4 linked regions of the Struthio camelus genome follow. The protein of the gene in region 1 binds, or shares a complex with, the protein of each later gene. Links are inferred from orthologs where the notes say so. Each region holds a gene or a part of one and is shown on either strand. Other genes may lie near its edges.

Region 1 (7,959 bases):
GACGGACGCCTCCCAGTTTCCGACACTACGAGCCCTGCCACCATAGCAGCCGTCTCTGCCGTCTCTGCATTTTTCAAGTCAGGCACAAAACTGCAAGCCTGCCATGCATTACTTTCAGACTGTCTCATGGAAAAAAATACATATGTACAACAGTGGGGTATTATTCAGTCCTCGATATAGCGATTCAGCCCAGCAGGCTGGTTATTATCGTGAGACAATTTGCTTTAAAAAACAAGAGCTCTGCTACCCAGCAGCGCTGGACACTAATCGCCTGTGCCACCGTGGCCGTAGCCTGCCCTTCTCGCCCAAGGACCCCGTGTGCGCGCTGGCGCGCCGCCGCTGTGGTCGCCACAGCCTCTCCCTTCGCCCAAACCCCGCCGTCCGCCATGCCAGCCTGTTTCTGCAGAAGCGGCTCAATAATTTATGGGTGCTCATCCGCAGCAGCGTCCCCCCCCGATCCCCCTCGCACACCCAGCCCCGCGCCGCCGGCCCCACATCAGCGCAGGGCCCCCCCAGGCCCTCTCCGGGTGGAAAGCGCCCGCCGCAGCGGGCGAGCGGGGGCTGAGCGGGAGCCCTTGCGGCACCCGCTGCGGGCGGGCAGAGCGGCGGGGCGCGCCGGGCGCTCGAGGGGAGCCCTCCCGGGCCCGCCGTGCGCCGGGGGGGGGGTAGGAGGGGGGCGGCTTACTCCCCCGGGAGCCCCCGCGGCCAGACGCAACGGCCTGACACAGCAACGGGCAGGGCATGCCCGAGTCACGCCTGCCGGCGTCTCCCGGCGGGGCTGCGGGCCGCCCGCGCAGGGACGCGCAGGGCAGCGGTATGCCCGAGCGGCTCCGAGCCCCTTCGGCTCTTTCCGAGCCCGTTCGGCTCCTCCCGACCGCCTCCGAGCGCTGTCCGGAGGCAGCCGAGCGCGGCGCTCGGCCTCCGCCGGGCGGAGCCGAGGCGCGCCGAAGCGGCAGCCGCGCCGGCGGGTTCGAGTCCCCGCTGGGCGCTGTCCACCACGGCAACCGCCTGAACGCCGCCGCCGCCGCCCCGCCCGGCCCCGCCGCCCGGCCCCGCCGCCGCGCCCGCGCCCTTCCGCCCCTGCTCGGCGACCCGCTGCCCGGATTGCGGCTTGCCACGCACAACCCCTCCCCGCAGCCTCCACACCCACCGCCGGCGCCCCTCGCTCGCTAGGCAACGCCGGCCTCCGCGGGCCCCTCCCAGGCGAGCAGCCCTCCGCAACCATCAGCGTTAGAAAGCAGAAAGGGCTCCGTGTCTTTTCCGAATTAAAAGCGAGGCACTGAATCAATGCACGGGGTTGCTCAGTGATGGCGCCGCCTTGGACCAGCCTGTCGTGCCTGCTTCAGCGGGCGGCTGGGATTGTGATTGTACTTCAATTAAAAGGAGGGGGAAGGAGGAAAACAAAAAAAAAAAAAAAAAGAAAAGCAGAAAGAAAGAAAACCCCAGCACCCCGCCACGGTCGTATCTCCAGCCGTTCATCAGCGTTCCCCTTACTCCAGCCATCGCGACGCCGCGGAAAAGGCCGCGCAGTGGGTTTTCCCAGCGCTGCTGTTTACCGCGCAGCGAGGGCTGAGGAAGCAGGGCGGGGGGTGTGTGCGGGGCCGGGGCCCGGGCCGGGGCCGGGCCCGGCCGCCGCTGCCCCGCGCCGCCGCCGGCCCCCCGGCTCGCAAGCGGCGGCGGGAGGCGAGGCGAGGGGAGCGGGGCGAAGCGCTGCCGCCCGCCGCTGCCTCCTCGGCCCCTTTAATTGGCGCTCGGCAGCCAAACTCGCCGCTCATTAATTGAAAGGCTAAAAGCTCGGGTGAAAGGGGCTTTGGGTGGCAGGGCGCCTTTCCGCGGAATCCGCATTACCGGCGGATTTTGGCGTTCCTTCCATGAACGCCACAGCGGCAGCCGGGCAGCCCCCGCCGGGGGAGCGGGCGTTGAGGCGCGGGGGGGGGGGAGGCGGGGGGCAGGAACCTGCCGTCGAGCGCCCGCGGCGCGTCCGCCGGCTCTGCCCCGCTGCCTCGGCGGCCGCTGCCGCCCGCTCGCCGGCGCTTCAGCACCACGGCGGCCCCGAACAGCAGCGGGGCGGCGGCGGCGGGGCGGGCGCGGGAGCCGCCCGCCGGCCCCTCAGGTAACATGGCGGCCGCGGGCACCCGCTCACCTCGGCGGCCGCCGCCCGGCCCCGCCCCGCCCGGCCCCGCCCCGCGCGCCGCTCCCGCCGTCGCGATCATCACCGTTACGGCCGTTATGATCGCGATCCCCCCCCCCCCTCCCCGGCCCCGCGCGGCGCCGCTTCTTACTTCATCTGCTTCACGATGGTGCTTTTCCCCGACTCCCCGGCCCCTGCGGAGAGAGGAGAAAGGCGGGTGAGCGCGGCGCAGGGCGGGCGGTGAGCGCGGCGCAGGGCGGGGGGCCGCGCGGCGCCGGGCTCACCTAGCAGCAGCAGCTTCACGTCTTTGGCGGCGCTGATCCCGTCCTCCTTGAGGTTCTTCTCGATGGCCTTGCTCCGCTCCAGGGCGGCCCGCTCCTCGGCGCTCAGGGTACATCCCATGGCGGCCCCGAAAATTGGGAAAAAAAAAAAAAACAAAATGGGAGGAAAAAAAAAAAAAAAAGGAAAACGGGCCCCCGCCGCCGCCGCCGCCTCGGCTGGCTCCTCCGCGGGCAGGAGAGGAGGCAGGGGGCAGCCCAAATCCGCCGGCAAAAAGAGCCCCGGCAGGGAAGGGAAAAAAAAAAAGGATTACAAAAAGCTTTCTAAATCTCTGGGCGGCGCGGCGTGTCCTCGGCGGGTCGCGGCTCCTTCCTCCCCTTCTGCCCGCTCCCTAGTGATCAGCGCATCCGACTGGGCACCGGGCAGAGCGGGGCTGCGGGCGCCGTGCGAGCTCTTCCCGGCGGAGAGGAGGAGGCGGAGGAGGAGGAGGGGGAGGAGGAGGAGGAGGAGGAAGAGGGCTCGTGGCGGGGGGTGGGTCCTTCCCTCTCCCGTGCTCGCGGGTTCCGCGTTCTCCCCTGCTGGCGGGCTGCTCCCGTCTGGCGCGGGCGGCGGCGGGTCCCTCACGGGCGGCGGCGGCGGCGGCGGCGGGGCGCGCTCGCGGAGCTCGGCGGATGCTGAGGGAGGGAGGCAGCGGCAGCGGCGGGGGGGGCGCGCCGGGGCTCCGCGCTCCCGCCGGCCTCGCCCGCTCCCGTGACGCGCGCGGCTCGCGCATGCTCGCGGCGGCCCCCGCCTCAGCCTCAGCCCGGTCGCCGCCGCCGCCCCGGCCCGCGCCCCCCCCCCCCCCCCCCGCCCCGAGGCGGCGCGGCCGGCCTTTCTCGCCGCCGCCGCCCCGCGGGTCCCGCCGAGGCCCCTCGCCGGCTCTCCTGAGGGGAAGCGCCGCGGCGGGGTCAGGCTCGGGCTGCGGGCTCCGCCTCGGGCCACCCAGGGCCCGCGGCCCGGGCTCCTGCCCGCCTTGTCCCGGGCCTGAGAGAGGCCGCGACCCGGGCTCCTGCCCCCTTTCCCTGGGGCTAGAGAGCGGCTGCGGCCTGGGCTCCTCTCCCCCTTCTCCCCAGCCAGAGAGCGGCTGCAGCCCAGGCCCCTGCCCCTCTTCCCCAGGCAGAGAGAGGCCGCGACCCAGGCTCCTGTCCTCCTCACCCCAGCAGAGAGAGTTCATGACCTGGGCTCCTCTCCCCCTTCCCCTGGGCAGAGGCCGCAGTCCCAGCTCCTTTCCCCTTGCCCTGGGCTAGGGAGAGGCCGTGACCTGGGCTCCGGTCCCCCCTTCCCCTGGGTCCTCTCCCCCCTGCCATGGTCACTGTGGGCTGGGGTCTGCCCAGCTGCACAGCTCCCGCACCTCTGTCACTGCCCTGGCTCTGCCCAGGTAGTACAGAGATCAGAGGGGCTGGGAGACGTGTGGTTGGATTCATGACACAGCAGTGCATTTTAATAGGCCTTGGGTCGCCCATGGGGCCGGGGCTGCAGTACCGCAGCCCCAGGCGGTGGAGACGCCCCGTTCCCTTGCTGCCCCGCGGGTCCTCCGCGCCGCCGGCCCCTGTGCGCTGGGCTCGCACCTCCGGCGTGCGAGATCTGTGAGGAGCCCTTCTGAAGCGGTCTGATCAGTTAAATTGTTTTGATCAACACTTGTAATACAAATTGTTTACGTGCTTGAGGGAAGCCATCAAGTTTCGCCACCATTGTGGATATGTTTTCCATCAGTCTGATTAACAGGTGGGTTTTTTTTTTTCTTTCTGTGCTGCAGTGCAATCAAAGATTCCTTCTCACCAGATAACCTGCCTTGTTTTCATAACCATTCCACTACATCTAGCAATTATTTAGGAATTCTAGCAAGTTAAAATCCTGCAATTTTCCTGTCTGGTTTTACCATTTCCTAAGGAGGGAAATGGGGAACAGAAAATGTCAATGGGGAAAATTTCTTTAAAATGCTTTTCCAGCACATAGACAAGTCATGATATATTCAGCTTCAATCCATAACATTGATTGATATGTGACAGTCTGACTATAAAAAAATTAGAAAGAAAAGAATGGAGTGTTGAGGACAGCAAGCTAAAAGCCATCAAACATACAGATGAGCAAACTAAGGGACTATTGCCTGATATGAAGAAAGCACCCCCCCCACACACACACATAATAAACAAGAAGTCTGCAAAGGAAGGGCTGATTGTTAGGAAATAGCATGTGAATGGGAAGGTTTGCCCTTGAAATCCACTCCTACCCCCCCCCCCTTAAGAAGAAAGGATACAACAGGCTTAATACCAGCATTACTCTGTTTAGTGAACAGGCCTTCAGGAAATCCCAGGTCCAGACTTCCCCCGGGCTGTCTCACAGCGAGCGGCTCGGGGAAGGGAGTGGTTTGCCATTTCTTATTTTGGGTGGTAGAGATTGTACGCTCACGCACTGTTGATCTTCCAGTTCGGGCCTTGGCCCACTGCCTCTTCTGAGCTCTTCTTACATCCTGCTGTCTTGAGCTGTGCTACTGCTATATCTACAGACCCTTCCTTTAGGGCTAGCAATACCATTTCTAATAGCACTTCCAGTATGTTAAGCACAGCTTCCCTGACACTTTCCTTCCAGGCAAACATCATCATGTCCTCCCAGCACTGCTTCCCATCACACTTTCCTTCCAGAATCTTTTTTTTTTTTTTTTCATTTTCCCTCCCCTGAAAGGAAGGGAAAAAAATATGGCATGTGGTTAAAGGGGTAAAAAAAGAGATAGAAGGTAGAAATGGGGAAAAAAGAGGGCAAAAGGTAACTCATAAATAATGTCAGTGCATTCAGGGAGCAATAGTATTTACTGCTCATTTGTGAGCTAATAGGTGCTGTATATCTGAATTTTGGGTAATTTATATCTGGAAGCTCGTGGGAATGAGATGACAAGTACGTACATGGAAAAGCAAATCTACCACATGTCTTTGGTTGGGAGTAAATGGAGACGTGACTGATTGCAGAGCAGTTCCTGCTCTTTCATACCCATGCAAATCCCTTGTGTAAAATCAATGGGATCAGAATTTCAATTGGTAAGTTTCATTTTGACGGTACTAGCCAGAGGGATTTATGAAAATTGCAGTTAAAAAAAAAGCACAAACAAAAAATCGAGACGCAGCGTCCTCATGAGATGGCTACGTTTTACTTGCCAACTTCTCCACCAATTTGCCAGCATAGGAGTCGTATTGGGATATTCCCCGAAGATTTCACTAAGAGAATTTGTCTTTCGTATCAGCCTCTGGCTACTCGTTATCTGGCAAATTTGTAGCCCGTGCCTCCTGCCACGGAGAAAATGATTTCACTTCTGCGTGACTAGTGGGGGGGTCCACACTAGGCCTTTTCTCCCATGTGCAGTCCCAATCGCTATGTAAGCGTCTGCTAATCTCTTTCTTAAGGGACAACCCAAAATGGGCAGATCTTCTCCTTGGTGTCTCTGCTCTCAGATTCAGGGGAGCAGCTGTGAAAGTGAGCCGTTTCTGAGCCAAGTTTTACAGGTTTTATGTCACTGCTAATTGAGTGGTGGTGATGGGAAAGTTTCATTTGAATTTTTCTTAGAAGGAAATTTCATTTTTTTACAAATTGTGTTTTCATGGCAGATGGATTTCAAGAACCTGAAAAACAGCCTGCCTCTCCTACTAAGCAATGAAAAAATGTAGCAGTCTACTTGGCCTTTGAGGTTAATACGTTGGGTTTTGTGGCTGAAAATAATGTTTCCAGGGACTGGCGGGATTTCTTTTTTAATGAAAAGTAGTTGGTTTCATTAACAACTTCAGAGAAAATTGTCTTATTTTCTTAAATATGCAAGATATTTTTCATGACAGGTAGTTGGGGGGGGACGACTTTTTTCTGGCCGATCCTGCAGTTAAACTATATCACTCAAAGTACACGAAGGACAGTGCTTGTTTCTGCTTGGACTATTATCTTTACAAGCATAAGAACAAACAGCATATTTTAAACGAAAACCCTCATTCTCCTGTATTTGTAATCTGTGCTTTAGCAAGAACAGTCTCCTCTTCACAATCTGCTTTCAACCATTCTGCTAGGAAAAAATAATTAGATAATCATTTCTTTAAGAAGTGAAGGTTGGGATAACGTTAACAGAATTGATGGATGCGTTTGAAACGTTTAGTGCCAAAGTAAAGTTACTAGGTATATTGTCATCTTATGATCTCCGGGGTGTGGTGTTCCTATGGGTGATGAGATATCTCTCATAATTCTCCTGGCTGTGTCCAAATGGTGGGAGAGATGTGCTCTAAAGCACACCTCACCGTCCCAAGTTCCAGACTACCAGCTCAGGGATTTGTAGAGTGCTCTGACTTCCTTCTAACGTAGACAGCTTGTTTTCTTTCTAAGGGAAACATAGCAGACAGTGTGATGCGGGGGAAGACAAGGAGTTTATTGAGACCCAGGACTTAGGAAGCCCTTCTAGGTCTCACAGTCTGGACAAGTCCTTGGGGAGCAGTTGCAAACCCCTGCCACAGATCCTGGCCGTGAAGGCAGCGTGTGTTTTCGGGATTTAGCCAGCACATGCCTCCCAGCTTGCCAGGAGGTAGTAAAACTGGCTGGGAGAACTATCCTCAGTAAAAACGAATTGAGTATCTTTGGCTTAAACTCCCACAGCTACCACAACGCTCCCACCACCAGAAATGAAGTTGCAATAATATTGGGAGGGAGCATCATGCTGGATCCCGTCCCTGGAATTAGTTGCTATTGTTGGTTCGGCATAGCCTCTGTGAACTGGTGGGTGGTGTGAAGAGGGAGAGGGTTAAATCCAGGATACGATGACCATAGGAGGCAAGCTACAATCCTTTTCAACTTGTCTTTCCCCTCCTGCTTCAGGATTGTTCTCTACGATCTGCCATCTTATACTTCTTCAGTAAGGTTTTAATGCACGTTAATGGAACTGCCACCAATCCCATGGAGAGACAGCAATGCATTCTAGCAGATCTCACCATTAGGAAGTTTCCCTTGGATAGTCAGCCTAATTTTTCATTCTTTAAATTGATGTCAATTACCCCCCAGCTAAACCTAGTTATACGGTGGAAGACAGGTTTAAAATACTGCATGATCTCACTAAATTGGAGAAATGGACTGAAATCAATACAATGAGAGGCAACAAGAATGCCCATAAAGGTTAAGTGGTTGATGGAGGCAGGATTAATGAAATGCACAGATACTAGGTCAAATTGCAAATACCCTTACTTCATGCTTACTCCGTACCACACAAATATGTTCTACTTAGGCAAACCAGGTGAGGAGGCACCTCAGGATTTGGCTAGTGACGCAGAAAGTGCAGACCAATATTAAAGAAAGAGACGGGATGGGATGGAGGTAACATGTGGAAAGTTGGACTCAGAACAGGAATGAGCTATTAATACAAGAAAGACAAATGATGTCCGCATAAGAATATGACCTGTAAAATGCCTACAGTCAAGAAGGTAGACAAATCCACAATCTAATCAGGTTTAGAAAGATGCTGAAAAGCCTTTGTTTGTTGTTAGTTTTTCAAG
Region 2 (7,694 bases), on another chromosome or scaffold:
GCTACACTGGTCGAATTGGCTCACTCCATCTCTCTCTTTGCAGCCTGGCTTTGGGCTGGCTGCTGGAAGAGCCCATTTATCCCACGGGCCCTGTTTCTTTTCCCGGAAAACAGGAAAAAGCTCTTCACCTAAGAAATGAAGACAATGTGGGGACATCGCAGCACCCTGTCCAGCTGCACCAACCTACAGGTACCTCCGACCACAGTGCGGGAGGAGAAAGGTGCAGGAGGCACCCGGCGGCTGCGCTGTGTTTGCGTTGCAATCCCACGTCCCGTACGCCATCACTTTTGCTCACGTATATATTCCCCCCGGCACATACATGCGACACTGGTATCCCAAAATACTCCTGTAACAGTATCTGAATGAGGATGAGTAAATAAGGGAATGGGGGGGCTGTTGGCGGAGGAGGGCACGCACCAAGGTCACGGGGCGCCCGAGGGACTTGTAGCACCCAGGGCCAAGGCGAGGCGACAGAGGGGAGATGGGGCTGTGCATCAAATCACTGAGCAAAGGGATTTAATCTTGTTTTTTTCCCCCTTTTCGCAGTGACCGCCACTGCCCTCCCAGCAGTCTCCGGGCGATTTAGTGCTGGGGAGGCCAGCAGCAGGACCAAAATCACTGAAGCAAAGCCAAATCGCCGCCGCGATGAATGAATGCCTTTTCACTAGGCTTGGATGAGGTTTAACAGGAATAATTAGCGCGGATGCATTTTCTGGCAGGGCTGCGGAGCCGCGCAGCTGCGAGCAGCCCCGGCCGCACTGATTGCAAACACAGCTCCCCTGGTCTCGTGCCGGAGGTCAACGCCGCGCTGCATTTTGCAGCGTTTCCTTGCCCGTCGCCTTCGCGATGGCCAGAAGCAGAGCGTGGGTGTTTTCCCTGCCCCGATTCGCAGGCATTTCGTGGAATCTGTAGGCATTTCGTGGACTCATCAAAATCCTCGCTCCGTATCAGGAACCGCTCGAGACGCTGGGAAGCGAATAACCTGGCGCGGCTTTCCCTCCTCCGGGAGCACGGTTCAAATCCTCAGCAACCACAAGAAAACAGCCAGAAACTTCTGACCCTGCGAGGCCCCGGCCGGCCGGGAGCAGGCGGCGCGAGGGCCGCTCACCCGCGCTACGTTGCGCGTCTCAGGGCCGCGGCGTCCTTGCCTCGGCCGGCACCCGCCGGCTCTGCAAACCCCGACGCTCGTTTCGACCCGCCGGCAACCCAACGCCTTGGCCCCGTGCCTCAGTTTCCCCTTCTGCCCCTCAATCAGAAACAGCCCCGGGGCCAAAAGCCCTCTGCGAAGCAGCGAGGCGTCACAGGAGTTTTGGAAGCAGCGGCCGGGAATGAATTTGAGTCGACCGTGGTGGAACAATCCCCCCTAATATATTGGGAAAGACGCAAACACGTGGAATATTTCAAATTTGTTTTCTCCGCGAAAAGTATTTTTTGAAGTTTTGGCTTAATAGGGTGTCAGAACTCGACCTAAGCTGGAAAGGGGAGTTTGGATGAAAGATAGCATAACCTGCAAAAAAAAATCTCATCATCTCATCTCGTGATTTGTATTTCAGCTCAGATGACATGTAGCAGTTGGACCCAAATGATTTTTTCCGGAAATTCCTCTTTGCTCCTCCCGAGAAACCCCCAAACTCCTCAGCTCTGATTTACATGAACCCGAAGCAATCTCCCCTCCTGGCCTTTGCTTTCAACGGCAGCTGAAAACCAAAAACCCCTCCGGGTCACCCCAACCTGGCTGCAGCACCGGGACACCCTGGTATGTCGATCCCGACGCCGGCATTAGGGGAGGCTCAACCCCCCCGAAGCAGCGGGGATGCAAAAACAAAAAAAACCCAGGGCATCGTGATCCCTTAGGCCTGCTGGGGACGAAGAAGAGCGCTGCGTTGCTTTTTTGCATCATTTACAGGAGAAACGGGACTTTGCGTCCGCCCGCTAGCGAGCAACGGAGGAAGCGACGGTTGCGCCGCTGAAGGAGCGAGCCGGGACACCGGAGCGCGATCTGCGAGCAGCTAACGGCGGGACCGTTTACTCCTGCGTCTCGCTGCAAGGCGGCCAAAGGACAAGGTTTTCTTTGTGTGCCCGCAAAGGAGGAAGAGGAACTCGGAGTGTGCCAAACGCGTTTTGCAATAACCCAATAAGAAAACCGGAGCGGAGAGAGAAAGAAGATGCTTCGACCCTGCAAACCTCCGCTGCAGCAACGCCGCCCCACTCGCAGCTCCCTGGGAACGGAGGCTTTTTCGGGGCTAGTGGCCAAAGCAATGATTCAACAGGTTCGGAGACGGGGGTCTCGCTGGTGCGAAGCGAAGCGCGCCAGAGGTGGCGAACGCACGGTGGAGTGAAAGAGGGAGGCGGAGGTGCGTGCCGGAAATCACGGATAAGCCGCCAGCTGAGTGCCGCCAGCGAAGCTGCGTGGCCGGGGAAGGGTTGCGAATTAGGGAGCAAGCAAGCAACCCATGCGGGGGGAAAAAAGAGGAGCAGAGGGAGGCCGGGCTGAGGTCACGGCAGCAGGTCCGCGCTTGCTTGATCGAAGCGCTCCCACCGCCCCGTCGCTTGGGTGGGTTTTTAGGGTTCGGGGAGTTTTTGGCATCGCCGTTCAATCCCTGAGCTGGGCGAAACGGAGTTTAACTGGCTTCCCCCGGGCAGCAGTGCCCGACTCCGGATGCGGCGGGGACGCAAGCGGCGCTGCCGGGGGGTCCGAAGGGTGCAGGGGAGCAGCCCGGGGGTCTCGCACCTCTGCTCTGGAGGGGATTGTGTATGTCTGTGTGTGTGTGTGTGTGTGTGTGTTGCACGCTGCCACCCCCCGCTTTGCACGCTCCTACCCTGCGGCCGCCGCACGCTCCCGCCCCGCCGCACGCTCTCGCTCACCGTGCCGAGCCGATCCGGGCCGAGCCGAGCCGATGGCCCCGTTGCGGCGGGCGGCGGCAGCGCCGTGCCCGGGGCTCGGGTCCCCTCGCCGGGCCGGACCGCAGCCCGCGGCCGCCGCCGTCTCGCCGCGTGGGAGCCGGGAGGCGGGTCGGGGCCGGGCGTGCGGCCGCACCGCCCCCTCCGGGCACGGGGCGGACCGTCTTCCTCCCCCTCCTCACCCCCCCCCCCCCAAATCTCGGTCCGGGATCTGCCCCCGACGGGCACCCGCGGTCGGGGCCGGGATTGGGATCTGCACCCCCTCCCACCCCCCGGCGCCAGGACCGGCACTGGGACCGGGGATGGGATCGGGGCCAGGACCTGGACCGGGATCGGGACCTTCCCTCCCACCCCCCAACCCCCGGGGCCGGGGCCGGGATCGGGCACAGGACCTGGACCGGGATCGGGACCTTCCCCCCTCCGGGGCTGGGACCGGGGATGGGATCAGGGTCAGGATCGGGATCGGGACCTGACCACCCCCTCGGGGCTGGGATCGGGGTCGGCACCGGGGATGGGATCGGGGCTGGGATCGAGACCTGACCGCTCCCCCCGGGGCTGGGATTGGGGTCGGGACTGGGGATGGGATCGGGGCTGGGATCGGGGTTGGGATCGAGACCTGACCGCTCCCCCCGGGGCTGGGATCGGGGTCGGGACCGGGATCGGGATCGGGGCTGGGATCGGGACCTGATCACCCCCACGGGGGCTGGGACCGAAGCCAGGACTGGGGATGGGATCGGGGTTGGGATTGGGACCTGCCCCCCCCCCCTCCACCCGGGGCTAGGATCGGGATCTGACCACCCCCCCGGGGATGGGATCGAGGGCACGACCAGGGATGGGATCAGGGCCAGGACCGGGATCGGGATCAGGGCTGGGATCGAGGACAGGACCTGGGCCGGGATCGGGGCTGGGATCGGGACCTGGTCACCCCCATGGGGGCCAGGACCGGGACTGGGATTGGGGCTGGGATCGGGATTGGGATCGAGACCTGACCGCTCCCCCCCGGGGCTGGGATCGGGGCCAGGACCAGGGCTGAGATTGGGGCCAGGACTGGGACCGGGATCGGGGCTGGGATCGGGACCTGATCACCCCCACGGGGGCTGGGACCAGGGCCAGGACTGGGGTTGGGATCGGGGTTGAGATTAGGACCTGTCCCCCTCCCCCATCTGGGACTGGGATCGGGATCTGGCTGCCCCCACCGGAGCCGGGATCGGGGCTAGGACTGGGGCTGGGATTGCGGCTGGGATCAGAGCTGGGATTGGGACCTGACTGCCCCCACCGGGGCTGGGATCGGGGCCAGGACCGGGGCTGGGATCGGGACCTGATCACCTCCTTGGGGGCCAGGATCGGGGCCAGGACTGGGGCTGGATCGCGGCTGGGATCAGGACCAGACCACCCCCTCCCTCCCCCTGAGACCAGGATTGGGGTCCAGACCAGGACCTGCCTGCACCCTGGGGCCGGGATTGGGACGTGCCGACCCCTTCGGGGCTGGGATCAGGGCCAGGATCGGGGCCAGGACCAGGATCTGCTCATCTCCCCGAGGCAGGTCCCAGTCACATCCAACCCCCGTGGGGCCACGGTAGCCTCCAGCTCCCCAGGAAGCCGCACACCCAGGGTGGCCCTGGCGCCCTCCCCCTGCACCCCAGGGTGCCCCGAGCAGAGCTCCCCAACCCCTTGCCCGGGGCGAGATCCTGGGGCGCAGTGGTGGAAAGGGGAGGAAAGGGGGTCCCAGGACTCCAGGAGGGTAGAACCAGAACCGGAGCCAGAGCAAGTGGCTCCGCTGGTGGAAAAATGCCTCCAGACTGGCCGGATGAGAAGTTAGATGATAACAGGACTTTCAGGCCATTTGGGCTTCACTTCTGCCCCTCTTGCTCATTTTCCTGAAAACCACGTGCTAGAGAAGAGCTTCGCGATGCGGGTACCACGGCATCCCTTGAGAGATGCCACGCTTGGAAAGGGGATGTGCTGCTCCCTAATGCAAAGGCGATGCTCTCGCCTTGCTTCCTGGGACGCAGCCTGGCCAGCGGGAGCCCGCTCGGCTCGCCGGGACAGAGCTGCATCTCCTCGGCTCCTGCAGGTCCAGCATCCCAGCGTTCGGACTTTACGTCCAGGGAAGAGATGACGGGGCGAGGGGGATGCGCCAGAGGCCCGTAAGACCTGCCGCCTTTCCTCCGGGGACCGGCTGGGCCACCATCTATCGTCATCCGCGAGCGCAAAGCGGCAGCCGGCTAAGGAGGCGTTCGCGGAGGCTCTGGCCGCTTGGCACGGGCTGCCGAAGGCCTGACGACGAACCTCCGTGCCAGCGCGAAACTGCCTGTTTCCTTCTTCTGATGTAATTTGTTTGCAGAGGGAAAACAATACATCATGTCGCAGCTATTTGGGCCTGATAAGGGAGGCAGGACGGGCTCTGCGCCGAGGCAGGGCGATGCAGAGCTCTTCGGATGGGCCTCGGACCAGCCGGGAGGGTGGCAAAGCACCCAGTGTAATTAAGCCTTTGATTAAAGCCGGCGGCTTCTCCCCCTCTGATCCTCTGAGCAGCTTTGCTGGGGGCGGGGGGGGAAGAGCAAAACGGCTTAAAAAACAGAGGCGGGCGGCTTTTTCGCGTCGAGGGGCGATTAAGCGCGGACAGGGCTGACCGAGGGGTTTGCAACAACCGAGAGCAGATGTTTTCCTAAAACCTTGGTCGGAGCGGGAACCGCGCGGGGAAATGATGCCCGTGGAGCTCGCGCCGCGGCGGGGGCTTCCAGCTGATGGATCAGCGCCCCAGCAACCTTCCCGCCAGCCCCGGTTTCCCCCCCTGGTTTGTACCAGCTGCGGGGAAAAACCTTTTCTTCCACCAGTTTTGCGTTTTCCTCCTTTTCACCACTCGACCAGGTGGAAGAGAGACGGGAGGCCGCGGGGTTATTCGTGCACGCGCCTGCGCATCGTGTCCTGCTTAACCCACCTCGGGCTTTTCCATCCTTCTTGACCCGGGAGGTTTTTAGCAGGTGACCCAACCGGAGGGGGACCCCAAAATCTGCATTCGCCATCTCAGGCCTCTTCCAAAGCAGCTCCAACCACGCGAATAAGAGGTTTCGAATCCAGCTGGAGAGAAAGGAATGATTTATCCAGCGGCGGTCATCCGTGCCGGGAACGCTACCCGTCCGAGAGCCGGAGCTGGAAACCGGCCCCTCGTTGCTTTTAACGTCTCCGTTTTTCCAGCCTTTGGCAGCGATACAGGTTTCTAAGATGCTCCGAAAACATTTCCCCTGTTGTCTAGCGGGGAGGAACGCGATCGCGCGCGGGGTTACGGGAACGGCAGCGACGGGAAGGACGGGGCTGCCGGCAGCCGCGGGAGCGCTTCCGGCCGCAGCCTCGAGCGCGTTTCCCAGGCATTTCCCAGGCTCCAGCGTTTGGGGAAGATGCGAGCCGGGAGCTGCTCTGCTGCGAGCCTCAGAGCTGCGGCCCCGGGTCGCGGTGCAAAAAGGTCTTTGCCGCTATGCTTTTGTATGGTTTTTTTTTTTTTCCCCCTTCAGCAGCAGCTGGGGCTTTTTGGTAGCCCAATTTTTGCTTCCTCCCCACGGAGGGCATGTAAAACCCCGGTCTCCACCGGCGACCTCCCAGGCTGCAGAAGCGGCCGCCGCGGCCCCGGGGCACAAGCGGCCCGTTGTGGCCGGCGAGCTCGGGTTCGCCAAGGTTTTAAATAAACACGGCGCGCCGGGAAAGGGGGGTTAAAATTAACCCGTCAGCCAGGCCTACGTGTGCTGCGGGCAAGGGCAGGGCCGGTTACGGGCAGCGCGCGCCGCGGCCGAGCCCGCGCCGGGGGGATAGCGGATGGCACGGGGGTCCCCGTCTCACGCCGGGGTGTGGGGGGGTAACAGCCTCTCTCTCTTTTTTAGCATTTTTTTTTTTTTCCTGCACCGGCCGCCCTGATCTGCTGGAGCGGGTTACGCATCCCGGCGGGGATTTCTCTCCCTGGGTGGCAGGTAGACGCTTCCGCGGGGCTGCACGGCTCCGCCACGCGCATTTCGGGGGGAATTGGGTGGGAATTCGGTGCCCGCGCGAGACGGGTGCTCCCTGCGCCGCCGCACGCTCCCGGGAAGCGGTCCGGCGCAGGGGATGCTCGCGGCTCGGCGGGAGGCTGGGGTGCCCCCCCCCAACCCTCCGGCTTTCTTAGGAACGGAGATGCTGAGATTTCCGCCCAGCGTCACGGCGCCAGCGCAGGGGTGCTCAGCCAGCCTTCAAGCCTCCGGCCTGAAACCAAATCCCCCTAAAAATAGCGGCGCGAGACAACCCATCCGACACAACGAGCCGAGCCCAAAATAGAGAGGAGGTGGCCGTGAAAAAAGCTCATTCCTGTATTTGCAGAAACGGCGAAGAGCCGGACCGGGCTGGATTGAAGACCCGCTGCCGGGCCGCGGAGCAGGGACACGGCTCCCTCGCTCGCCCATCGGCGTCCGGGCGGCAGGAGCCCCGTTGCCCTCCCACCCCCAAATCCCTCTTTTGGATCTGTTCCTCCCAAAGGACACAGCTAGACGTGATCGGTAGAGATGCTGAGGAGCGAGTTTCCATCAGCGGTGGCGGAAAAGCCGTTTTACGGCAGCTCTCCGAGCCGGTTTTCCTGCTCTCGCGGGGACTCGCGCAGCGTCCCACCCTCCAATCCCTTTGTTTCCCCCCAAAAATAGCTATTCTCAGTAAGGGGCTTTTGAATTCGCTTCCTTCCCGTCTTGCTCCAAAATAACCTTTCGCTCCTCGGGGAGATCTGCACTGACACGGCCCGGCGGCGGGAGGGCGGATGGACGTGCAGCCCCCGGACG
Region 3 (6,868 bases), on another chromosome or scaffold:
CAAAAGGGTAAGAAGATACGTTGCTTGAAAGCAGGCAGCTCTCCGGTGGGGGAAGACGGTAGCTGCATCGCGTTATAACACGCAGCGCTTCGTTAGGCTTGTGCAACAGCCCGAGTCCGACGACGTAGATGTACTCGGAGGTCTGTATTCTCTTTTCTATCTAATTTAATTACGTGCTTCCTGTGTCATCGAGCTTACCAGTCGCCTGCATTATCAGCCGTTGTTTGGGAACACGAGAAGCATCCTGTGTCGCAACGCCGGGGCCGAGCGCCCGCCCCGCCACCTGCCCCGACTTCTGCGGCGCCGAGCCCACCTCCCGCCCGCGGGAACTAACGCTGCCTCTTGCGCCGCCCAGACGATCCCCTCCGCCTTTCGTTCCCGCCGGCCACGCTGGGGCTGGCAGCCGGCTCACGCGAGCACCTGCAACGAGGGAGCCGCGTCGGCAGCTGGCGTTTCCCAGCGCGGCCCTGTCGTTCGCAGCGGGAACCAGCTCTCACCCAGGCAAACCGCGAATAAAAGTTTCCACCCCCCCAAAGTGTATAAATGAACTAGGTAGCAGGGAAGGAAGGAGGGACCGGGGAGGGGGGACACAGCACCTCTACGCACGTGCCCCAAAAGCGCCATCGAGCACCGTGAGCCGGCAAGGAGGATTCCTGGTAGCATCATTTCAGCTTAAGGCACTTGCGCGTGCGCTCACAAACACCTACCTCGTGGGATTTATGGAGGGACCGACAACATCCCGGTGCTGGGGAGGCACCAGCCCAGCTGCCTCTAAGCGACGGCTGCCTCGAGCTTTAGTGTGGCTCTAGAGGGTTTTATCCTGAAAAGACAGGAAGGAAGGAAGAAGAGCCGCAGCGAACCGGGGGTGGATGCCGGGCACTGGGGACTGCAACAGGGGGAGTTCAAACCTTCAGGAGAAAGACAGAAGCGGGACCGGTCAACTGTATTTCTTTGTTACGTTTCCCTGAAGCTAGCAGCCGGTAAGGACCCGGCTCGGTCACCAACAGCTCACGGCTGCGCTACTTGGGGCGAGCGAGATTGCTGGAAACACACACGAGCATCGCGACCGAGCTCCTCGAGGGGCAGCTGTTATCCCCTCCGCTCATGTGCTTTCTTTGTACAGCACCAGAGCACATCTGTGCGGCGAGAGGTAGCTGACAGCAGGTACCTTTAATCTTCTCTTTCCGTTCCCAGCACCTGCTCTTTAAAGTCACTAAAGAGCAAAAAAAAAAAAAAAAAAAAAAAAAAGGCGAGGGCTAAACATATCCTATCTAAGAGGGAGACGGAGCGGTGCTGATGGCAGATTCTTCCCTCGGATGCACACGAATCATTGTGGCTCAGAGTCAGGCTTAGGGGGAAGAAACTAAGAAGAAAGGGAAAGGGAAAGCAATAAAAGCAGGGAAGGGAATTAGGGCAAAAAAAGGAGAGAGAGAGGCGAGAAAAAGGAGGGGCTCAGAAATTCCACGTTTGCGGGAGAAAAGCAGATTTATTTAATTGCTCTCATTAACTGCACCGCAGGGCAGGCCAAGCGACAAGCGCTCGCGGCCCACCGGGCCGGCTCCAGAGGAGGGATTTCTCTCGGTGCGAGCGGAGCCCGGGCGCCGCTCTCTCCGGCCGGCCGGCCGGCCTCCTCCTCGAGCCCGATGCCGCTCCCTGCGGAGCTGGTCCAGGCTCCGCCAGCTCGGCGTCAGCCTCGCGCCGACTCCCTAGGCTGGCCCCGGCCAGCCGCTGCGTCCTGCTCTCCGGCTCCGCTTCGCGCACGCCGTGGGCCCCCGCGGCGTTTTCGTTGCCCGCCTGACCGTTGGCACTTGCAACGCGTCGGCCTCCGTTTCGGCTGCCGGCTCTCGCCCTGAGCCTCGCTGGCGCCGCTGACTTGCCAGCCTATTCCCGCTGGCTGCTCCCAGCCCAATTTATCCCCCAGGACTGGTCAAGTGGAGACCTCGATGAGAACGGCCTGCTCATGGCCACCTGGAGCCTGGCGCTGCTCTTCATAGACCGAAAACCGGGAGCGTTCAGTGGCTCATCATGGCTGGGCCGTACTCGGTCCATCCCACGCTGCTCTCCTTTCCTCGGCGCTTGCTTGCGCATCGCCTACCTGCTAGATCAGGATCAGGCCTTTTTTTGGCGTGCGCGCGCTGGGCTGACAAAGGAGCGTTTGCTCTCCAGGCGTTCACCGCGCCTCCTGCTCTCTGCCGAGCAGCGAGCGGGCTGCCCGCGCAGGCGGCCCGGCCGCACGCCCGGCTCGGTGGCAGCCGTCCCCCAGCCACGCTCCTGGCAGCGCGGCAAGTGTTTGGTTTTCTTTTTTCCCTTTTTAACGCGGCCCTCGCTGCTGAGCTGCATGCCGATACCCCCCCGAGAAGGTCCTGCAAGACTTCTGCGCGACTTCAGCGAGGTATCCGGTTCAGGGGAACGGGTAACTTGTCTGAGACCAAGAGCGTCGGCACCGTGCCAACCGCCAGCCACTGCACGTGTTTGGCCGGCCCGAGCAACAGGTCCACCTCTGCTCGCCCGCCTGGCTGCTTCCTCCCGCCTCGGACCTGCGGGAGCGAGGCCGAAGCAGGCGCTCCCGTGAGGCTCCAGCCGCCGCTGCCCCCCGGCCAGAGATAAGCACCCACCTTCCTTGGGGGAAGCTCGGCTTCCTCAAAGAAGAACGACTGCTCCTGGAAACGCCTGTGTTTGCTGGGGTGACTGGTTTTGTTTTGGGAGTTTGGAGCGGACGATCCGTCACAGGGAGCAGCAGGGAGTAAATCCACTGGTAGAAAACCCTTCAGATTTGCCTTCCCTATAGTCTCCCAGATCCTACTGATAATATTTCTCTCCCCTCTCCCCCTGCCTAAATGTTTTACCTCCAGGGGGACTGCATCCAAACTGCTGTAACAAAGAGAGACTGAACAGCCACTTAAGAGTTAACACGTTCCTTCCCAGCTGCCTAATGGAGCAAGTCTGCACCAGTCAAACCAGTACACAAAAGGATGAGGCCAGCGTCTGAGAAGGCACAAGTTTCTTCCATCCTTTTCCTCCTCCTCAATTCTTTCAAGAGACTTTCCTCCATCCCCTGGGCACCTGACCCTCAATTTGCACTTTCCTCTCCGTAAAGGAAAACTTGCTCGATTCACACCTTTTTCAGACATTCGGGCACAAAGCAAGGAGTTCTCAGGCTGTTTATTATGTCCTCACAGTTTCTATACAGTAAAGGTAAATAATACTTCACAACGCAGTGACACAACTAAGTGGGAATATCATCGGTGGTCAGACATCTGATACGGCAGAGGTGACTCAAGCAAACGAGCAGGTAATGCAGAGGGAACGTCAAACTGCACCCAAGCCCATGCTTTCACCTGAACGGGAAGGAATCAGACCAAACAAGCTGCTCCTGCTATTGATCTAACAAAATCAGTAGCACCCCGATGCTGCGGAGACACTGACAGCATAAGGACCTAATTAAAACAGAAACACGGCATGGGGAAGATCTTAAAAAGAGTTGGTCTTTCTGTCCAGATACCTGGTGGCTCAGTTCTGAATTAGCTCCACACACTGAAGCCCTCCTAAATCCCTTCTGAGCCACCCACAATCCTGTGTCCCAGGGAACAAAGACATCTTAAACCATACCTTATTCAGGACTGGTGCTTGGCTATTGATTCAGGTCCTCAAAGCCTCCTCCTCCCAGTGGGATACCTTCATCCCACGGAGGATAGAGGTGCCAGACAGCTTAAAGAAAATTCTGAAGTCTATGTGCCTGATGCTTTGCTTGCACAGGAAGAGGAAGAGAGGTTATAGGAAGATGAAATACTTTAATCATGGTTTTTAAGGAAGGGGGATCCACCCCCTAGGGAGGACTCATTACCCGCTCTTTTCATTATCCGTAATCCCACAGAGGCCAGTTCTCTTGCATAAGCAAACACAACATGAAACGCATCCTTCCCTCTTCCCTTTTTAGCTGGTGACTGCATGCGCTGGCAGAGCAAGGCAAAGATGTTTCTCTTAGGGTAACACTGCTGTCTCTGCGCTACACCACAAATGCAAAGTCAAGCAGCTCCTCCTCTGTCCTGTTTTAGACTCTGCCTTGGGGATACAGCACACGGATGAAAGATGGTGGTGTATCTACAGATGTAGCAACTAGTCCTGGCCAGTCTGAGGGTAATTCCCCCTTGTTAGCTCAGGATAACAAGTAAATCACCCCAGGAGCAGCAGGGAGGTACTGGTGTCCAGCGCCAACCTGAATACACGCTGGCTAGATGGAGCTGCACACTGGGAGGTATGGGGCCACCAGACAAGTGATTCCCACCCTGGCTGAGATCCCCGGCCAGCCCTGGTATGCCGAGTCCCTCCAGCAGCAGGCTCTGCCTTTTCTTTTGTACCTTTTTGCAAAGAAGGTTCTGTTTTGGGGGGTAAATAAACCCATCGCCTTTTGCCACCTCCCTCTCATGCACACACTTCCCCGAGACCCCGTTGAGTTTCCTGCACACAGTCTCAAATTAGAGACACAGCCCTCCAGTAAAACCACGAGGAGGCACAGAGCAAAATGACTTACTTTACTAAGCAAATGTAACACACACACACACACGCACGCACCTTTATTTACACTCTATTTTTTTAATCGGAAAGCTAAAAGGAAGCACAGCTGTGACCCTGTCAAAGCAGCTACTGAGTCTGCACCTAAGAATAGAACCCGTGAAACGGAGCACAGCTCCCGTCTCACTCAGCCAGACCCTGCCAGCAAGCAAAGCACGTGGAGCACCAGCGGCGGGGGAAGAGACACAGTGCTGGGGACAAGCCAAGCCTCTGCAAAGGCCAAGGGGTGTGCAGCAGGAGAAAAGCGTTCTGGACTGGCAGCAAAATATACTTTAATTCCAGTTCTAGGATATAATGTTTCAATGCCAGAGAAAGCACAGTACCAAGAAACAAGACAACTGCAGCAGCCGCAGGAATGAAAGCTAATACAGAAATTATGTGAAGCGTTTTCTTCTTATGTAATGGGCAAGGGATAGCTACTAAGAGCTTTATAGCAACAGTAGGAGGTACGTAGGAGAGCGATGGAGAGACCAGAAATAAGTGTCTGGGGTGGTAAAAAGAAACGAGGAGACAAAGGATACATGAGGAGAGCGGGCATGCAGACAGGGAAGCATGGGAGGTCAGGATGTGAGGCCAGGGCTGATACACAGGGAGGACAAGCAGCGCTGGCAGAGAGGAAGGTTTGGCACGGTCAGGAGTGCTTCAAGGAGGGGAGGATAAGGAAGAGGAGGGGAGCGCACAGGGACAGGACCAGGAACGAGAGAGGGGTCTAGAAGGAGAAGCGAGAGGCCAAAGGGAGGGGAGAGTTTGCACTGACAAGTGAGAGGCACTCCAGGACTGGCATGAGGTATGCTTTCCTATTGCTCTGAATGCTGTAAACATTTTGGGTTTGTGTCTATCAGCGAACATTCAGTTCAGTTTGATACATGTGCTCTTAGGGGTAACTGGAAGCCTAGCAGAGTTTTACATCTCTTATTACTAGTCAAACTTATACACAATGCAAAGACAATACTAGCTAATATCTCATTTTATGCCACTTACGCATAATTCTCCTAGCCTAACATGCACATCTACATCCCAGAAAGGCTTCTGTAGTGGGAGACACTAAATAGCACGTACATGAACTCACACGCACTCTCTCTCTCTCACACACACACACCCCTATTTCCCTCCCATGCTCAGACTAGCAGGACTTTGCCCTTCACACTTTCTCAGCATGGAGAGCAGGGACCCATCAGTACATTAACAGGTACAATAAAAGTGACGAGAATAATCCCAAGTGTGACTGACAGGGCAAAGCAGGAATAAGAAATTCAAAGCAGTTTCAGGTTCTGCATCTGCTTCTGGACTTCACAAGTTCTGAAGTTCATAGAACAAGAAAACGCAACTGTAAACCCTTCTTCCCTTTTGCTGTCAAAGGACTTGAGAGCTGACTGGGTACATGTCAGCATACACACAGGATAGAAAGAGCTAAGTGAAATGATTTTTCTCTCTTCTTGTGATAGCACTCTGACATTACTTCAAACGGGCAAATTTTTGGAGGTATGCGCTCGTGGAGGGAGGAAATGGGGCTTGTAAGTTATGAATATCCCTTTCACATCAGTAAGAGATGAATCAAAGATAGGATATTTGTCCTCGATGAGGATTAGTCATCCCTCAGTGCTTTCTGAAGTTTGGCTCACTCATTATTTCCTTAACCAGCCCCTGGTTTAAGGCGAAGAGATAGAAGTTGCCTATTTTAATACCCGTCAGACTGATATTTGGCATAAAAGAAGCAGCTGGTGCCAATTTCTTGTTTTAAAATAAAATACTTTAAATAACTAGGCGGCTTTCCTGCTAGAGAGACAAAATTTAAAAGCAGCAACAATAACAACTGCGATAGACTCATATCCCTCAGACAATAAGTTTCACTCTATTGTATGTTCTAGGATGTTTCTTATAGAGGATATTATCTGGCATCAATACAAGGGGCAAAACACTTATCCTGCATCAGCCTGCATGAATATAGCTCCTGTTGCAATTGCAGCAATATTGTCTCTGAATGTGCCTACTCAAGGCAGTATCCCAGACCAATGTAGGAAAGAAGGGATTTAGTTTTTACACGGTGTGGGCTACTGTGGAGTTTTTTTGATGAATTCTGACCAAAATTGAAAGAATGCCAGCACTGATTCTGGAGATGCCTGCTGAGAGATGTTATCTACTGCGTTTTCTGGAGTCACGCTTTGAACAGGATCAACCTTTCTCGCCATCAGGTAAACCTCGGAACCGTCCTCTCTTCTGAATTTCTTGACCTCATTCCTACACAAAAACATCTTTTTTTGCTGTTTCTTCACCGCCTGGTTGTCTCTGTGACCCT
Region 4 (7,513 bases), on another chromosome or scaffold:
TCCAGATGCACGGGGCTTGGCTGCCCCTCCTTTCTTTGTTGTCATGTTCTGTATAAAAAGAGGGGACAAATGATGAAGCATCTCAACTGGCAAATCCAAAGAAAGAAGCTGGAGCAACCAGACTCCTTACCCCAATGTTCAGTTTGATGGTCTGTCCTTCCTTGAACCCTAAATCTAATTTGGGACGTGTGTCAGCTTCCTGGGATTCCTTGGAGATCTCAGTCTCCTGCTTCACCCACCTAAAAGAAAGAGGAAGACATAAGACCCTATGGCAAAGGGAAATGGGGCTTCAGAAAAATGCACAGTTCCTCCCTCCTGCCAAAGAACTAGCTTGCCTTGTCAGTCTAGCTACCTCATTGCTCCCAGTATAGCACAGCAAAAAATTCAGACCACAGAAGCCCAAAAAGCTGTTAAACACCACACCTGCAGCGTCACAGGACCCAAGCTTTTGGCTTACAGATCTGATCCTACAAGACCCTTAGCCTGCATGGTGGTTTAGAGCACACACGAGTGTGTGTTCCTGATGGAGCCACAGCTGGCCTTCAAGACTATCCCAAAGAAGCCTATGCTAAATGAATGTGCAGAGCTACCCACTGTGTTCCACAGGCCAGAGGAAAAACAGCATCCCAGAAGAGCCCAACTCACTTGAAGTGATCCTGCAAAGAGACGTTGAAGTCAAATGCATCACCCCGATCCGCGAAGCCAATGCCAATGAAAGCACTTCGTCCTAACAGTGAGACAGAAGGGGTCATTGGAAATGTCTTGCAAAGGTGCCCCTGTGTTCATTCTCTCCCAAATCCTTCTGCTTCTCCTAAACCAGTCTGTGCTACCTCCTTTGACAGCTCTGCAGCTGGACAACACAGGCACACAGCAGTTCTTTGCTCCTAGCCTATAGGATGCACCCTTCATCCCACGTGGCACTCTCCAAAACTGAATCCTCCTTCTCAGCCTCTGGACTCTGTGCAATGTAGAGAAGCCTCCTCTGCTGATCTTGCCTTCCTACCCCTCCAGGCACATTATCCAACCTTTTCAGCACTCCCAACATCATCTCAATCCACCTGGCCTACACTCAGCTTCAGCAGGTTAACTCTCTTCCACCCCCAGCACTTGGGCCATGCATGACTCCTTGACTCACCAGTTCCATTCTGAATCCGAATGACAAAATAGCGGCTGGAATCTGTCACCGTCTCCACTGCAATGCCAGGGTATTGGTCTATGGGAGCCTGAGCAAAAAGCTCCCCTATAGGCAAAGAATCAGGCGTTAACAAGAGCAACCTCTTTCTAAAAGATGATTGGGGCTGCCACGCACAGCTCTGAGCTGGCTTAGAAGCACAGGCTCCTAAGTAGCAACCACAGTTATAGTGTTGACAAGCCACACCCCTTCCCTTACCTGAAACCTTATCCTCTAGTTTTATGTATGCGGTTTTGCCTTTGGAGGTCACACGAAGTCGCCCTGTCCAATCCGGATGGTCCAGTTTCCAGTCAGAAGCCCTGAAAAAAAGAGCAACTCTTCACTGACAGTTCCTCAATATTTACATTTCTGCCCAACCAGCTCAGCTAAAGCCCCTGCTCCCAAACCTTCATCACATGAAGTTGCCTCATTCCGCTTCTCTCTCTTCCCACTAAGTTCGGGAGTCTGCTCCTCTCCATTGTGGGGTTAACTCCTCACTGAGGGTCTCAGCTCCTCTCTGTCACTACCAGTCTACATACGAGGCTCAGGATGGCCTTTCTTTCCTTCGGGTAAAGGAAAATAGATACAGTCCAGAGAACATCAACTCCCTGTCTTTACTTTTATAAACTTGCAGAAGAGGAGAGACTGAAACCCTAGAACTCAGTTGGGATAGTAAACCTAAAAAGGACTAATAAGCAACTAGTGAGCATCAGGAAGGCCTAAAAAATTTACAGCATGCTGAAAAGACACTTGATACTTTTTACAACAATGGGGTAAAATAATGAGTACTTCTAAAACTAGAGGCAGCTTGTTTACTCTATGTAAGGCACCACACACACAAGCATACACACAATCTTATTTGGCCCATCAAACTCTTTGCTACAAAACGTTGGGGGAAGGGGAGGAAAGAGTCAATCCTACAGCATTCTACACTCAGAACTGAACATTTGTGGCCAGGAATACCATCGACAGCAGCAACAGTTCAGCAAGACAAAGCAAGTGCTCCTGACACCATTAGTGTTTCAGAGCATAAACCAGTCACTCCAAGAACTCTGTGGAAGTAGCTCACAAAGTCATGTTCTGCTGGTTTTGGCTAAAGACAGAGAAGGTATTTCTAACTAACTTCTAGCCCCGCCAGAGTCACAATCAGCTTTTTCTGGCTTCCACCCCCACTGCTCCAAAAGCCAGTGGGCCAAATTTAACTTTTTGTTATACCACATCACGTTTGTGCCTCGGGGAGCAGAGCAAATATAATTGAGGGCAGAAGTTATTTCTGACTAGAAAAAGCACAGCAAGTGATTTACATCTTCATGTCCTGTGTGAGATTAACTAAGGAGACTCCCCATTCCCCTACAGCACAGAGGAGAACACTCTTGGTTTTAGGCACAGAGAATATACATCAGACTTGATACAGGTTTATCAGAAACATCAAGTACATCATCTGCAGCTGAAGTTTGTGAAACTGCAAGTGCGTAAGGCTTCAGAAAGCCTACTTGACTTGCTTAATGCCAAAGAGAGTGCAGACAGTTCAGCAGGTATTAGCACATAGAAGCCTCCGCCTCTCAAGCCTCTGTTTATTCACACAGAACAGACTGTGCTGACTCTGGGCAATTCTGCAGGAGCGCCTGAGCCAGCACACTCTGCCAGAGCAGTACCAGCTCTGCAGGGACAACGTGGGGTGGGGGGAGGGAGGGAGGGAGAGAAAGAAATACATCTACCACCAGAGAAAGCAGCTATGGTATGACTCAGAGCACACACAAGAACAGATTCGTGAAATAAGAAGAGGTCATTTTTACAAATTTACTTCTCCCTTGATCCAGGCTGCAAGCCCAGCACAATGCAGGGCATGGGCATCACAAAGCAAAACCGAGAGGCCCAAGGCCACAGCTCAGACCCCGGTTACAAGACAAAAACGAACGATAGCAACTCAGTGCATGACTGCACTACCTTTTCACTCTGCGAGAGCACAAGGAGCCCGCACCTTCCCTCAGCAACGCTTCTCCCACCCCAGTTCTGGCACCGTCAAGAGGCGCTGGCATCCCGCGGCGCAAGCGGGCCGCTGCCGCACAGGCACTGGCACCTACTCCAGCCACCGGCCCCCGGAGAGGACACCTCTCCCCACCTCAGCGAGGCGCCTACCTGCTCCAGGGCCGCCCTCCAGCTCCTCAGGCAGCGCAGAAAGGGGCTGAAGGGCGGCCCTGCAGCCAGTGCCGCCTCAGGGAGCCCCGGAGCGCAGCCGTGCTCCCCATGACGCCACGGCGGAGCGGCGCGGAGCGCGGCGGGGCGCGGCACAGCGCACAGCCCCCTGCCCAAACACAGATCGCCCGGCCTCAACCTCGGCCCCGGCTCCCTGGCACAGCACAGACCCCCCTTACCTGTATCCGCGGTTGGAGGTGCGCGGCGGGATGCGGTACACGTTGACATCAGGCTTCACACACAGAACAGACTCATACTCCAGCTCAGCCGCCGCCATCTCAGATATTAACCCCAACTACCTCAGCAGGTAACGGCGGGTGGGGAGCCTAATAGCCGGGGGCGCTTCCGACCGCCATGTTTACTGAGGGCAGACGTTGCCAAGGGCGCGCGCGTGTGGCCATATTGCAATCAGGCCGCGCTAAAGGCGTGGCGGAAGGCATCATGGATCGTGGCAGCAAAACGCTGGAGTAGGGGAGGGGAGGTGGCCATATCGAAACCGTTCCTGACAAAGCAATACGGATGGGTGCCATCTTGGATCCTGGCAGTTGCCACAGGGTTTCGCGCGGCCATACTTGATTCGGGCTGATGAAGTCGTGTCGAGCGCCATCCCGAATACTGGCGACTTCCCTTTCTCTCGGATACTAGAGTGGCGCGGAAAAGCAGCCATGTTGGAAATGGGCAGAATGGAGCAGGCGGCCACCGGAAGCCGTACCGCGTGCTGGCGTGGCTGCCCTGGCTGCAGGGGCCGCTTGCGCTGGCCCGGGTGCTAATGGCTCTGGCTGAGGGCATGGCCCGGGGCAGGATGCATGGCCCTCCTGGGCCTTCTTGGGCTCACCCCACGGAGCATGTGTGTATGAGCGGCCAGCCCAGCTTCTCCAGGAACAGAGCCACCCCAGGAAGTGTGAGAGCTGCTTCCCACATGCCCCATGCCCAGGGCAGGACCAACTGAGCACTTCCAAACCAAAGTGACACCAAGCAGAAGCTCACAGTGTTGTGTCATGTGCTGGAAAGCTGCTGCTCAGGCAGCAGCAGTCAAAACATGCAGTTCGGTTGTGTGCTTTCATGTATTTGGAGGTCTTTTAGTTCTCTGAATGTTCTGAGTACTGTTTTGGGTGCTTTGCCTTCTTTCTTTCATGTTTTTCTTCTCTGCAGCCCTAGGTCAGGAAGTTGGATTTTAGAGGAAAAAGGTTTTTTGTGTACTCTGTGGTTCTGCGACTAAGAGGCCCTTGGTAAAACAGCAAACCAAAGAGAAAGTGCAACACAAACCACTGTAAGTTTTCCAGCTAAAACTGGTGAAAGTGCATGTTAAGTGTGCTTAAGGTTAATTTCAGAGGTATGACTTCCCAGAAATTTGGCTAACCTAAGTATATAAATACTAATTTATTTATTAAATATAATAGGATAAATATTAGTAGCATTTAGACTGCTATTTTGTAATAGTCACTAACTTCCCAGTGGAAGCTGGTGCTGAAGTCTACCGCTGTACAGTTGCTTGTGGCGGACTCTAGAGAATGTTGACCCTGAAGACTGGGGAAAAAAGGGGTAAGGCAAGTTATGAACAAAGTTACGTTTGTCCACCCAGCCTGGGACAGACATAATATGGGCTAATTGTGCTAGGAAGTAATTTAAGCAATCCATGGAACACTGAATAAGCATAGTTTATTGCTGAGGGTGAAACAAAGTGAATGAAATGGCGCTGAGTTTGGGGAATTATTTTTTTTCTGGTATGGTATAGTGTTAGTTAATGCAGTGAGAGCTGAAACTGTGTTTGGAGATTTGTTATCATTTTCATTCCAGGGGTAAGTGGAACTGGGTGGTAATAAACCTCAGCCATAGCATTCTAAACAAGCAGTCCTTCTGTCAGGCCTAAGGTCCAACTAGCCCAGCAGTATGTCTCTGACAGTGCCCACTACAGAAAATATTTGAAACAAAGGGAGTTTGTGCTACTAGTTCCATAGATCTGGTAAGCGAAGCCCAGAAAAGGAAGTCTTGAGTCATTAAAGTCATTGAGTCATTAAAACTAACAAAACAAAATACTTACAATTTAACTAGCCTATCTAAATGTAACTGGCCAAATTTTTCAGAAAAAAAAAATGATGTGGGCAGCTGTATGAATAGATACACACAAAGGAAGTATGACTGGTGTGAGCTGAGTACCTGAAAAGACCTGGTTTACTATGGAATTATGCAAATACACAACTTTCCCTCTGCCAGCTTGTTCTGCCTCCTTACAGCAGGAGGGAGGGGCTGGCACACAGGATTTCTGTGGCAGATCTTGATGCTCCAGGGAGCAGAGGCCCCCACTTGAGTGAAGCAAGCTGCTCCCTGCCAGGCTGCACACTGGAGCAGGCAGATAATCTGTCTATCTTCCTGGGCAATGAGATTTGAAACCCTTCAGGCAGCCTGGACAAGAGCAAATGGGAATGTGTGGAGCCAATACTTAATGCAGGTAGGTGCCACAACGTAAAAGAAAGCTCTGCCTCCCTGCTTACAGTATGGCAGGGTTATGTTGCTTGCCAGATTGTCAGAATAAAAGAAAAGGTAAAAGACAGCACGGTTCTGATGCTGTACTGAAGCTAAAAGAGGTTAACGAGAGGCAAACCTTGGAGGAGAAGGCAACAGAGTTGCTTAAAGAAAGCATATTGAACAGCACAGAATTACACTTTCCTCACATGAGGAGAGGCTGACAGAGCTGGGACTGTTTAGCCTGGAGAAGACAAGACTGAGGGGGAATCTGATCAATGTGTATAAGTATCTGAAGGGAGGGTGTCAAGAGGATGGGGCCAGACTCTTCTCAGTGGTGCCCAGTGACAGGACAAGAGGCAACTGGCACAAACTGAACCACAGGAAGTTCCGTCTGAACCACTTTTTTACTCTGAGGGTGACTGAGCACTTGGAACAGGTTGCCCAGAGAGGTTGTGGAGCCTCCATCCCTGGAGATATTCAAAAGTGTGTGGACACAATCTGGGCAATGTGCTCTAGGTGACCCTGCTTGAGCAGGGGGGTTGGACTAGATGATCTCTAAAGGTCCCTTCCAACCTCAATCCTTCTGTGATCTGTGGGTAGCCTGATAATAATCCATGCAGAAGAATCATTTGAGCTTTTACTTTGGTTTGATTGTGTTTCAGAAAAAATAATGCATTGTCCAGTAATGTGCATGAAGCCTATCTTAATGGATGGATACAACATATGGCACATATTCCTTCTGTGCATAAAAGGCACAAGGGAAACCCACCTTGCAAAATGAATCACTTAAAATCTTGAAACAAGCGTTTACATAGAACAATCCAAACACTATTTCAGACAATGACTCTTTCACTGAAAATGCCCTGGTAAAAATTCTGACTCAAATCATCCTCCAGTACTGATCTTTTATTTTGAAGAGCTGCTTTTTCATTCTGTGATCTATGTATATACCCGTTTTGCCAAGCTTGTTTCCTGCTTGATGTGCAAAAGGCTTGTGCCTACCTGAACTTACCAAGCAGTGCACGAGAATGGTTTTGGGTTATCCAGGGGATTTTCTAAAGAAGAGAAACTGAGGAATATCAATACAGAGCAACCTTGCTGATTCCTGGAGTTACTGCAGCAGCAGCCAGTGAGTCTCTATGAAACTAAGTACATACTAGAGACAATGAAAAAAAAGAATATAGTAAAGATTGGCCACTAAAGCACCACAGCATGCTCTCTGGCGATGCAGTTATGCTAGCTATGGCTAAGCTTTATAGGGAATGTTTTGGACATTTGTTTAGGAAGATGAGCTTGACAAATACACAGGGAACTTTCAGCATCTGGGAAAGATGACAGCTATCTAGTGGCTCCACCTGCTCAGAAATGAACAGGGAGTCTCAAAGGGTCTGTAAAGCTTTGGAGAACTGCAGAAAAAGTAGTAAAAATACAAAATGGAAGTGGAATTCTCAATTCTTGCCAAACTGTTCTGGAAGCAGCCTGCATTCTCTTGAGGGTGGGAGGTTTTTGTAAGTATACCTGATCACATTTATTGAAGAGCAATTATCTATGAGTGTAACTAGTAACTGGTGCAGGTTTGTACTAACAAACAGAATCACAGAATCCTTTAGGTTGGAAGGGACCTCTGGAGATCATCTAGTCCAACCTCCCTGCTCAAGCAAGGTCACCTAGAGCATATTG

What was found.
Region 2: the proteins of GNAO1 (region 1) and P2RY2 are in contact, whole or in part, in a cryo-EM structure (PDB 9K20), measured with the Homo sapiens proteins. The link is inferred for Struthio camelus from reciprocal best matches to the Homo sapiens genes GNAO1 and P2RY2. Residues at the interface, in NP_066268.1 of Homo sapiens: Ala31, Lys32, Asp33, Val34, Leu195, Gln305, Glu309, Glu318, Ile319, Tyr320, Cys321, His322, Met323, Val334, Phe336, Thr340, Asp341, Ile343, Ile344, Asn347, Leu348, Gly350, Cys351, Gly352, Leu353, Tyr354; in NP_002555.4 of Homo sapiens: Asn66, Ser68, His130, Arg131, Gly134, Val135, Pro138, Leu139, Leu142, Arg143, Met221, Arg224, Leu225, Ala229, Tyr230, Gly231, Thr232, Ser233, Pro237, Ala239, Lys240, Lys242, Ser243, Arg245, Thr246, Leu308.
Region 3: the proteins of GNAO1 (region 1) and RGS16 are in contact, whole or in part, in a crystal structure (PDB 3C7K), measured with the Mus musculus proteins. The link is inferred for Struthio camelus from reciprocal best matches to the Homo sapiens genes GNAO1 and RGS16. Residues at the interface, in NP_034438.1 of Mus musculus: Glu64, Asp65, Gln68, Ser75, Arg86, Thr117, Val180, Lys181, Thr182, Thr183, Gly184, Ile185, Val186, Gln205, Arg206, Ser207, Glu208, Lys210, Lys211, His214, His236, Glu237, Asp238, Glu239; in NP_035397.2 of Mus musculus: Glu85, Phe86, Ser87, Glu89, Asn90, Glu124, Ala125, Pro126, Glu128, Val129, Asn130, Asp132, His133, Glu134, Leu161, Lys164, Asp165, Ser166, Arg169, Lys172.
Region 4: the proteins of GNAO1 (region 1) and C3AR1 are in contact, whole or in part, in a cryo-EM structure (PDB 8I95), measured with the Homo sapiens proteins. The link is inferred for Struthio camelus from reciprocal best matches to the Homo sapiens genes GNAO1 and C3AR1. Residues at the interface, in NP_066268.1 of Homo sapiens: Ile28, Ala31, Lys32, Asp33, Val34, Asn194, Leu195, Ser264, Asn316, Glu318, Tyr320, Asp341, Ile342, Ile343, Ile344, Ala345, Asn347, Leu348, Arg349, Gly350, Cys351, Gly352, Leu353, Tyr354; in NP_001313404.1 of Homo sapiens: Asn57, Asp119, Arg120, Val123, Val124, Pro127, Ile128, Gln131, Asn132, Arg134, Asn135, Tyr356, Ile359, Arg362, Gly366, Arg367, Phe368, Ser371, Lys374, Thr375, Val378, Leu438.

The regions. Positions count from the first base shown.
Region 1 is NC_090951.1:21,791,322-21,799,280, reverse strand, and holds the start of GNAO1 (guanine nucleotide-binding protein G(o) subunit alpha), read right to left. Parts: upstream 3,012-7,959; 5' UTR 2,534-3,011; coding exon 2,416-2,533; intron 2,349-2,415; exon of another isoform or gene 2,326-2,348; coding exon 2,283-2,325; exon of another isoform or gene 2,261-2,282; intron 1-2,260. UniProt on the Homo sapiens protein: Guanine nucleotide-binding proteins (G proteins) function as transducers downstream of G protein-coupled receptors (GPCRs) in numerous signaling cascades.
Region 2 is NC_090942.1:222,647,798-222,655,491, reverse strand, and holds the start of P2RY2 (P2Y purinoceptor 2), read right to left. Parts: upstream 3,002-7,694; 5' UTR 2,866-3,001; exon of another isoform or gene 2,820-2,865; intron 2,355-2,819; exon of another isoform or gene 1-2,354. UniProt on the Homo sapiens protein: Receptor for ATP and UTP coupled to G-proteins that activate a phosphatidylinositol-calcium second messenger system. The affinity range is UTP = ATP > ATP-gamma-S >> 2-methylthio-ATP = ADP.
Region 3 is NC_090949.1:7,354,115-7,360,982, forward strand, and holds the start of RGS16 (regulator of G-protein signaling 16), read right to left. Parts: upstream 3,007-6,868; 5' UTR 708-3,006; intron 1-707. UniProt on the Homo sapiens protein: Regulates G protein-coupled receptor signaling cascades. Inhibits signal transduction by increasing the GTPase activity of G protein alpha subunits, thereby driving them into their inactive GDP-bound form.
Region 4 is NC_090942.1:88,541,262-88,548,774, forward strand, and holds the start of C3AR1 (C3a anaphylatoxin chemotactic receptor), read left to right. Parts: upstream 1-4,501; 5' UTR 4,502-4,637; intron 4,638-7,513. Other genes in the region: NECAP1 (adaptin ear-binding coat-associated protein 1), read right to left, coding at 1-48, 131-239, 646-727, 1,136-1,240, 1,391-1,491, 3,547-3,644.